Linked DNA regions of Macaca mulatta. The protein of the gene in region 1 purifies or fractionates together with the protein of each later gene. This does not show direct contact. Links are inferred from orthologs where the notes say so. Each region holds a gene or a part of one and is shown on either strand. Other genes may lie near its edges.

Evidence for each region. The genes of interacting proteins can lie anywhere in the genome.
Region 2: the proteins of EZH1 (region 1) and AEBP2 purify together in Homo sapiens (affinity purification with mass spectrometry; 3 studies listed by BioGRID and IntAct, with this or other methods). This does not show direct contact. The link is inferred for Macaca mulatta from reciprocal best matches to the Homo sapiens genes EZH1 and AEBP2.

The regions. Positions count from the first base shown.
Region 1 is NC_133421.1:67,059,219-67,064,054, reverse strand, and holds part of EZH1 (histone-lysine N-methyltransferase EZH1), read left to right. Parts: intron 1-1,070; coding exon 1,071-1,162; coding exon of another isoform or gene 1,163-1,168; intron 1,169-2,111; coding exon 2,112-2,152; intron 2,153-2,980; coding exon 2,981-3,106; intron 3,107-4,836.
Region 2 is NC_133416.1:22,038,309-22,042,939, forward strand, and holds the end of AEBP2 (zinc finger protein AEBP2), read left to right. Parts: intron 1-2,406; coding exon 2,407-2,632; 3' UTR 2,633-3,491; downstream 3,492-4,631. UniProt on the Homo sapiens protein: Acts as an accessory subunit for the core Polycomb repressive complex 2 (PRC2), which mediates histone H3K27 (H3K27me3) trimethylation on chromatin leading to transcriptional repression of the affected target gene.

The sequences.
Region 1 (4,836 bases):
AAGGAACCCCAGTGCTTTGGCTTCCTAGCTTCTGAGAGGAGACTCTGTGGCCTCTACTTCATGTTTCCTGTACTGAGAACAATTAATAGAACCATGGACTGGGCGAGGTGGCTCACACCTAGAATTCCAGTGCTTTGGGAAGCCATGGTGGGAGGATCGCTTGAAGCCAGGATTTCAGGACCAGTGTGGGCAACAAAGTGAGACCCTGTCTCTACAAAACAAAACAAAACAAAAAGCCATGCACCTGTAGTCCTAGTACTCAGGAGGCTGAGGTGGGAAGATGGCTTGAGCCCAGGAGTTCTAGACTACAGTGAGCTATGATGGCACCACTGCACTCTAACCTGGCCAAGAGTGTGAGACCCTCTCTCTAAAAAAAAAAAAAAAAAAAAGAACCATAAGCTGAAGTGCCCTTTGCTTTCATTTTGGAGCTCATACCTATTTCCCTGAGTCACAGGTTCTCAATGTAACCATCTATGGATTTGTATGCAAAAATATTCTTGTCTGTATTTTCCTGAGAATATTTACAGTTTTCAAAGATCCCCCCAAAGGGCCAATAGCCCCAACAAAGAAAAGGAAAAACTAAAAACCAGTGCTTTAAGAGAAAAAACGCATCCTATTGAAATGGCCAAAGCTCTGGCATATTTGTACCAACAGAGGGAGCTAATATTTAGCCCACTGAAACCATTCCTGTTCTGTCCTGTCCTGCCTTACACTCAGTTACACAAGGCACAGAGTTACCCTTCCTAAAAAGAAGATACTATTGGTCACAATCAGCCCGCTCTTCTACCCGTGGCTTGGTAGAAAGAGTAGGTGACAGCTTCTGGCCAGGGGTGTGTTACTGTGCTCAGTATTTCTCCTTTCCTGAGTCAGGATAAATAATTAGGAATGAACTTCAGAGCCAGTGACCCAATCTCCCAATGGCACTCTGTCTCTCCCTGACTGACAAGAGGCTCAGTCAGCCTCTTGTTCTGAGGGTTCCTCAGAACCCTCCCAAGACCAGCACCCAGTTGGGCCACTTACCTGACCCCCTTGCTCGAGGAGTGACAGGCCCTGTTGGATTTCTCTTCCAGGTCTTTCAGTTTGCAGTCAAAGAATCACTTATCCTGAAGCTGCCAACAGATGAGCTCATGAACCCCTCACAGAAGAAGAAAAGAAAGCACAGGCAAGGGTTGGACAAAGTGTTTTGTTTTACAGCCAGGCTGTTCCCTGTGCTCTGACCTCCCCTTGGAGTTCCCATCTGCCTCCCTCTTTAGCAACCACACAGGCTGTGTAAGCCCATCAGCTTGGCATCACATGACTGAGAGCCAGCCTCCTGAGTGCTCCCCAAGGGTCTGTGCCTTGGATCAGCCCTCTGCTTGTCCCCAGGTGCTGTGGACCATGACATAACTGGCTGTTTTTCTGTTTAAGCTCCTGGCCAATAGGACATGAGCTGGCTTCATGGCTCCACTCCGAAGCCATTTCTCCTTGTTGGTTTAGTTACCACCTTACCCATTTCTCAACTCTGACCAGAGTTTATTTATTTGTTTGGTTCGTGTTGTTTTTCTGAGTTACATAATAACACTGTCTTCTAGCTAGCCTTTACTTAGGTTAGAAGTTTTTTTTTAAAAATTGTGTACCCTGGCTCTGTTCCCTAATGACTATCACCTATCAGAGGAAGGAGCTGACACCACTTCTAGATACAGAAGGAAATCCCTGTGACTCCTCCCTTTCAGTTCTTTGGGAGAAGATTCCTGAAAGGCCTTCCCACCTCCCCATCTTGAAACTCCCCCATATCTCCACCTCCACAAAGACAAAGGGAGAGATGGGGAGACAAACAATAGCTTTATAATAGACCGATAGGCTTGGGCTTTCTTTTGTTTCTGTGTTGTGTTCTTTTATGTTATTTGGTCGTTTGGGAGGGGTGTGTTTAAGTTTAAATCTTGTAGCACAGGCCAGCTGGATTTAGGCTGGACTCTTGCTTCTGTGTACCAAAGTCGTCTTGTTGAGGGGTTTGGGAAGATACTCCCCAGTCATCAAACACAGTCCCTCAGAGCAAGTCACGTTGTCATTTACCTGCATTTACAGAGCTCCCTAGAGCCGTGACTGAGACTTATTCTTCCTGTCTTTTTCAGATTGTGGGCTGCACACTGCAGGAAGATTCAGCTGAAGAAAGGTAAGTTCTACCAGGGCATTCTTCAGCAGTTCAGTTGGAGGCTTCACCCTATGGTCATCACCCTACCCCACAGCTGCACTTGTTGACCCTGTGCCACTTCCGCAGATTGCAGAATTCTCTGCAGCAACTGAGAACAGCTCAGCCTCTCACTGCAACTGAGAAGACCTCTTAGGAGGTAGCATTAGGGGCCTTGTGATCGGTGATTTTTCTTTTTTTTTGAGATGGAGCCTTGCTGTGTCACCCAGGCTGGAGTGCAGTGGCACAATCTCGGCTCACTGCAACCTCCGCCTCCCAGGTTCAAGCAATTCTCCTGCCTCAGCTTCCCGAGTAGCTGGGATTACAGGCATGTACCACCACTCCCGGCTAATTTTTGTATTTTTAGTAGAGATGGGGTTTCACCATGTTGGCCCGGCTGGTCTCAAACTCCTGACCTCAAATGATCCACCTGCCTTGGCCTCGCAAAGTGCTGGGATTACAGGCATGAGCCACTGTGCCTGGCCAGTCTGTGACTTTTCTAGTGTGCCATTTGCTAGGTTCCAGACCTCATTTAATGTTTAGAATAGCTTCCCTATCACCTGTCAAAGGAAGAAGCTGACACCACTTCTAGATACTTCTCTGTAGCATCTCCACATCCTCCCCACAAAGCAGACCACCCCATTGCAGGTTATGAATAACAGTCATCCCTGTCTTCTCACTTCAGGTGCTAAATGTGTGTCCAAGAAGATTGTTAGGACCAGCCTCCTCTGAATCAGGGCAGCTGGACACTTGGGAGGGAAGATAGCTGGAGCGTACGGTCACAGCAGCGTCTTCCTCTGTTCTCTCTCCTAGATAACTCTTCCACACAAGTGTACAACTACCAACCCTGTGACCACCCAGACCGCCCCTGTGACAGCACCTGCCCCTGCATCATGACTCAGAATTTCTGTGAGAAGTTCTGCCAGTGCAACCCAGACTGTAAGTGTGCTGCGTCTTCCCTATAGTCTACCAAAACAGTCGGCACCAGTGTGCCCTAGGCTTGCCCCATTCCTGTGCCCTTTACTACTTATGAGCCTTCTGATAGTCTCTTTGCTGTGTTTTAGGGATTCTACAAATGAAATAAGTGCATGAGATCTGCAAGAGTCATTTCTGGAAAACGTTTAGGTTCATGATTGTAAAAGCAGAAATCAGATACCTTCCCAACTTTGTCTTCTAGGGGAGAATTAAGAAATGAGGGGGGCCAGCAGGCACAGCCACTCACGCCTGTAATCCCAGCATTTTGGGTGGGCAGATCACCTGAGGTCAGGAGTTCAACACTAGCCTGGCCAACATGGCAAAACCCCATCTCTACTAAAAATAAAAAAAATTAGGCCAGGCGTGGTGGCTCTTGCCTATAATCCCAGCACTTTGGGCGGGCAGATCACTTGAGGTCAGGAGTCAAGACCAGCCTGGCCAACATGGCAAAACCCCATCTCTACTAAAAATACAAAAATTAGCCAGACATGGTGGTGCATGCCTGTAGTCCCAGCTACTTGGGAGGCTGAGGCACAAGAATCGCTTGAACCCAGGGGGCAGAGGCTACAGTGAGCCAAGATTGTGCCACTGCACTCCAGCCTGGGCAACAGGACGAGACTCTGTCTCAAAAAGAAAAGAAATGTGAGATTCTTTTTTTTTTTAAGTTACAGCCCCAGTTTCCCTTTTCTGGATACTGTTTAAATTTTTTTTTAATTCAGATATTTTCTGTTTGTGATTCTGTGTATGTCTATTTTCATTTAATAGCTGGAGTTTTAATATCAGGTAGAAGACGGGGCCTGGATGTCAGCAGAGACATCCGGGTACTTATCTTTCACTTCTTATCCCACTATGCCCTTCCCAACTCAAAGCTGAGCAGTTTGATGGCAGTCCCCAGAGCTTGCAGAACTTGGTGCCCAGGCGGTTTTGCTGGAGGAAATACCTCCTAACCCATAGCAGATAGTGATCTTAGCCGCAGCAGAGAAGTGGTTGTGCTGGGTTGGGCAGTGGGTGGAGAAGGATGGCACAGAACGGATGCATTCTGTTCTCAAAATGATACTTGTTTTGATGGTGACATTTTACCAGTGAAAAGCACTGATTTCATTTTCTCTCTGGGGTACTCTCCACCTCAGCGGGAGGGAGAAGTTTGTTGGGGAAATCTCTAGGGGACACTTATTATTATACCTGCTTTTTTCTTATTATTATACCTGCTTTTTTCTTATTATTATACCTGCTTTTTTTTAAATTTTTTTTATTTTTTATTTTATTTATTTTTTTGTTGTTGTTGTTGAGACGGAGTCTCGCTCTGTCGCCCAGGCTGGAGTGCAGTGGCCGGATCTCAGCTCACTGCAAGCTCCGCCTCCCGGGTTTACGCCATTCTCCTGCCTCAGCCTCCCGTGTAGCTGGGACTACAGGCGCCCGCCACCTCGCCCGGCTAATTTTTTATATTTTTAGTAGAGACGGGGTTTCACCGTGTTAGCCAGGATGGTCTTGATCTCCTGACCTCGTGATCCGCCCGTCTCGGCCTCCCAAAGTGCTAGGATTACAGGCTTGAGCCACCGCGCCCGGCCTTTTTTTATTTTTTTAATTTTTTTGAGACAGGATCTCAGCTCTGTTGCTCAGGATGGAGAGCAGTGGCACAATTATGGCTCACTGCAGCCTCAACCTCCCTGGCTCAAGCAATTCATCCCCCCACA
Region 2 (4,631 bases), on another chromosome or scaffold:
CTCTTGTCAAATGCAATTTTACATAAACTCTAGTATGTAACAGATTAAAAACTATATTTTATTAGATAATTTATGAATTCAAAATTGTGTATTCAAAAGTTAGGCAGTGAGAACAGAGGCTGTTTTGATGTTCATAAACAGTTGAAATGGAAGTTGCATTCATTTCCCAGGACTGCCCTAACAAACTACCACAAACTGGTGGCTTTAAGCAACAGAAGTTTGTTCTTTACCCATTCTGGAGTCTAAAAGTCTAAAATCAAGGGTTGTCAGGCCATCTGCCATCTAGAGTCTTAGTGGGGAATCTTTCCTGGCCTCTTCCAGCATCTGGTAGTGCCAGACTTGGCATGTCATGTGGCAGCAAAACTCAGATCACTGCCTTTATATGGCTGCCCTCTCTGTGTGTCTGAGTTATCATAGCATTCTCTCTGTGTCTCTGTTTTCTCTTTTTTTTTTTTTTTTTTGAGGCAGAGTCTCACTCTGTTCCCCCGGCTAGAGTACAGTGGTATGATCTCTGCTCACTGCAATCTCCACCTTCTGGGTTCAAGCAATTCTCCTGCCTTGGCCTCCCAAGTAGCTGGGTTTACAGGTGTGCGTCACCATACCCAGCTAATTTTTGTATTTTTAGTAGAGATGGGGTTTCACCATGTTGGCCAGGCTGGTCTCCAACTCCTGACCTCAAGCGATCCACCCGCCTTGGCCTCCCACAGTGATGGGATTACAAACATGAGCCACCGCTCTCGGCCCTGTTTTCTTTTCTTATAAGGATACCACTCATATTGGGTTAAGGGCCTATCCTAATTGACTGTCACCTCATCTTAACTTGATTATATCTGATTCAAGTTAGGAATGCAACATATTGTTTTGGGGAACACAAATCAATATACAGTAAGAGTTATAGATAACAACTGCAGTGTTATGCTAACATTATTATCTGACTTATTTTGGTATTTTGTTTGGTGGTACCATATTGAGAAAAATTTTGGCCCACAGTGATAATTTAAAATGGTAGTTTTGTTTTTTTTTTTAAACATTTAACCATGTCACTTTGCAATCTCCATTTCAATTCCTTCAGTCAAATTGATCCAGAAGTCTGAAAGAACAACATTAGGGAATGTATATACCAGTGTTAAATTACTGACAATATCTTTAAAAACACTCACCTTCCTTACTGGGGAGTATTCACTTTTTAAAAGGAGTTGGTGAATGGATTCCCGGGGAAGCTTAAATCATCATCTATTTGGCCGACGCTGTGTGTTCAAATGTCATAATAGCCTGAGTTATTCAATGGTGACTTTTTTTTTGAGACAGGGTCTCACTCTGTTGCCCAGGCTGGAGTGCAGTGATGTCATCTTGGCTCACTGCAACCTCTGCCTCCCGGGTTCAAGCAATTCTCCTACCTCAGCCTCCCGAATAGCTGGGATTACAGACACACACCACCATGCCCTGCTAATTTTTGTATTTTTGGTAGAGATACGGTTTCACCATGTTGGCCAGGCTGGCCTCAAACTCTTGGCCTCAAGCGATTCACCTGCCTCGGCCTCCCAAAGCGTTGAGATTACAGGCGTGAGCCAGCGGGCCCAGTCTCAATGGTGACTTTTGAAAACATCTTGTTAGTGGCATGTTCTGTCAGACGTTCCCTTGAGATTTCAAAAGAGTAATCATAGTTTTGTATTTTGAGTGTAAACTTGGTTTCAGTTGTGTTGCCGACACATTCCTGCTGTTGTGAGCAGTGATGTGGAAACCATGTACTGCCAAATGAGCCCATCTGCTGAATTAAAAATAGCATCTAGGTACTTCACCTGGTACAGCTACGTTCCAGAGATGTTTACTTACTGGGTTTTTTTTAAAAAAACAAAAATGTTATTTATATTTTTATTTGAAATATCTGTACCAGAACCTTGTCTTGAAACTATTAAAAATTTCAATATTAAAACATACATTCTAGAACTGACCATCCTTATCAGTATAAATAACTCTGAAAGGTGCTCAGTTTATAGGCAATGCCTTAATAAATTTAACAATTATGAAGCTTTACCCAACATCTTTAAAAATGTTGCAGAGACAACTATTCAGCACAAATACAATGACCACGAGCGTATTTCAGCAACTGCTTTATCTGAGCAAGTCTTTTCACTCCACCAGAATAGACTTGGTTACATTTTCAACAAGTTACTCAATGGTATATTAAAACTGAATCTAAACACTTTTTACCCCTCCAGTTGTATTTTAAAAACTTATTTATGCTCATTTGTGTGGCTAAATATAAAAACAAGCAAAATACAGACATCAGCAAATCCACATTTTCATCCAGGTGAAGTGAAATTTAAATTTTATTTTTTGAAAAAATTTAAGTTTTAAAGGAATTCATTAGATACGTATTTTTGTTTTGTTTTGTTTTGTTTTCAGATGGAGTTTCACTCTCGTTGCCTACGCTGGAGTGCAATGGCACAATCTCAGCTCACTCCAACCTCTTCCTTCTGGGTTCAAGCGATTCTCCTGCCTCAGCCTCCCAAGTAGCTGGGATTACTGGTGTGTGCCACAATGCTCGGCTAATTTTGTTTTGTTTTGTTTTGTTTTTTTTGAGATGGAGTTTCGCTTTTGTTGCCCACACTGGAGTACAGTGGCACAATAGCTCACCGCAACCTCCGCCTCCTGGGTTCAAGTGATTCTCCTGCTTCAGTCTCCTGAGTAGCTGGGATAACAGGCATGCACCACCACATCTGGCTAATTTTGTATTTTTCATAGAGACAGGGTTTCTCCATATTGATCAGGCTGGTCTCGAACTCCTGAACTCAGGAGATCCGCCCGCCTCGGCCTCCCAAAGTGCAGGGATTACAGGCATGAGCCACCGCACCTGGCCTGTATTTTTAGTAGAGACGGTTTTTCACCATGTTGGTCAGGCTGGTCTTGAACTCCTGACCTCAAGTGATGCACCCACCTGAGCCTCCCAAAGTGCTGGGATTACAGATGTGAGCCACTGCACCCAGCAGATATTTATTTTGGATGTGTATTTTTGGATTAGATCAGTGATACCAGCCAGTATGATATGGTCTCTCAAGGATATTTGCAGATACATGGGGGCAATTTTGGTTGTCTTAATACCTAAAAGTACAACTGGGGCTTAGTTTTCTAGCACCAAGGATGCTGGGTGACTTGTACTTGTCCCACCTTAAATGCCAACAGAGCTTGGACTTTATCAGAAAATGAGAGTAATTATGTTTTTGTAAATGTCTGTTTATTTAACATAGCCCAGATTTTAATAAGCTTTTTTGATAGAATAAAGAGCTTTCATTTTCACATTTAAATTTTGTTCATATAAAATTTTTGTTGATAACACTGAGTAGTTCAATTAGGCAGGAACATCTGAGTTACTTACTTTTGAGCTTACTGTGTTTTGTTTGAAAATCATGTAATTTGGGGGGACTATGGAACTATTGTGTAAGATTTCACTGCATGAAATACAAGTTGAGCAGTTTTAGTCACACTAAAAATGAAACTGCGTGACAGATCATTCTCATTTACTTTCTTGCCTTCAAAAGATTTTCTGTGAAACTTACAGGCACTTGCTCTCATAGCATATGATTTGTTAGAGTGGTGTGGTTGGCCAGTAATTGAGTAACAATGCCGGATTGCATTTCTCATCAGGAGGTGCAGTCTTGTTTTATTTATCATCATATTTCTTCATTAAGTTTAATTTTCCTTTTCTTTTCTTTTGTTTTTTGAGACAGAGTGTCACTCTTGTTGCCCAGGCTGGAGTGCAATGGCACGATCTTGGCTCACTGAAACTTCTGCCTCCTGAGTTCAAGCGATTCTTCTGCCTCAGCCTCCTGAGTAGCTGGGATTACAGGCATGCGCCACCACGCCTGGCTAATTTTGTATTTTTAGTAGAGACTGGGTTTCTCCATGTTGGTCAGGCTGGTCTCAAACTCCTGACCTCAGGTGATCCACCCGCCTCAGCCTCCCAAAGTGCTGGGATTACAGGCCTGAGCCACCTCGCCCGGCCAAGTTTAATTTTTAAACCAATGATTCATTTCTGCTTTTACAGGTGATTACTTTATCTCACTAGAAAAAAAAATGTAAACATTCAAACAAAAAGTATCTAAAACTTATGATAAGCCTTAATCTTGAATAATTATCGTGACATGTGTTACTTGTGTGCTTATTGCTGTACAGCCTTCCTTGGCTTTCTGACAAGAGCAACTGCTAAGCAGAAGCACTTGAGCCTCATCTGGCATTTGATGAATTTGATTAATGTGTGCTATGGTGAGTCTACTCCCCTGTATAATTTTATGGGAGAGGCCATGTGCAAGTCTGAATTTAAAAAAAAGAAAAAATGGCTCGTGCAGAATTATTACCTACTCAATACATTATATATATGCCAGAGATGGCTAAAGCAGCTATATTTCAAGGTCTGCAAAAACATGAAGAAGCTGGCACGGAAATTAACACGTTGGTAGTCTGCAATGTGTTCAAAGTTGGTGTTTTTAATGACACTTAAAAAATAGCTAAAATATATAATGGCTGATTTCTGACCAGACTAAACTCTCAGCCTGTCTAATGTTAGACAGCTTGATCTAATCAATTTCATCCTTTTCTTTTCCTCAGTCCAATCTTACAATTGCTCTGTCAGT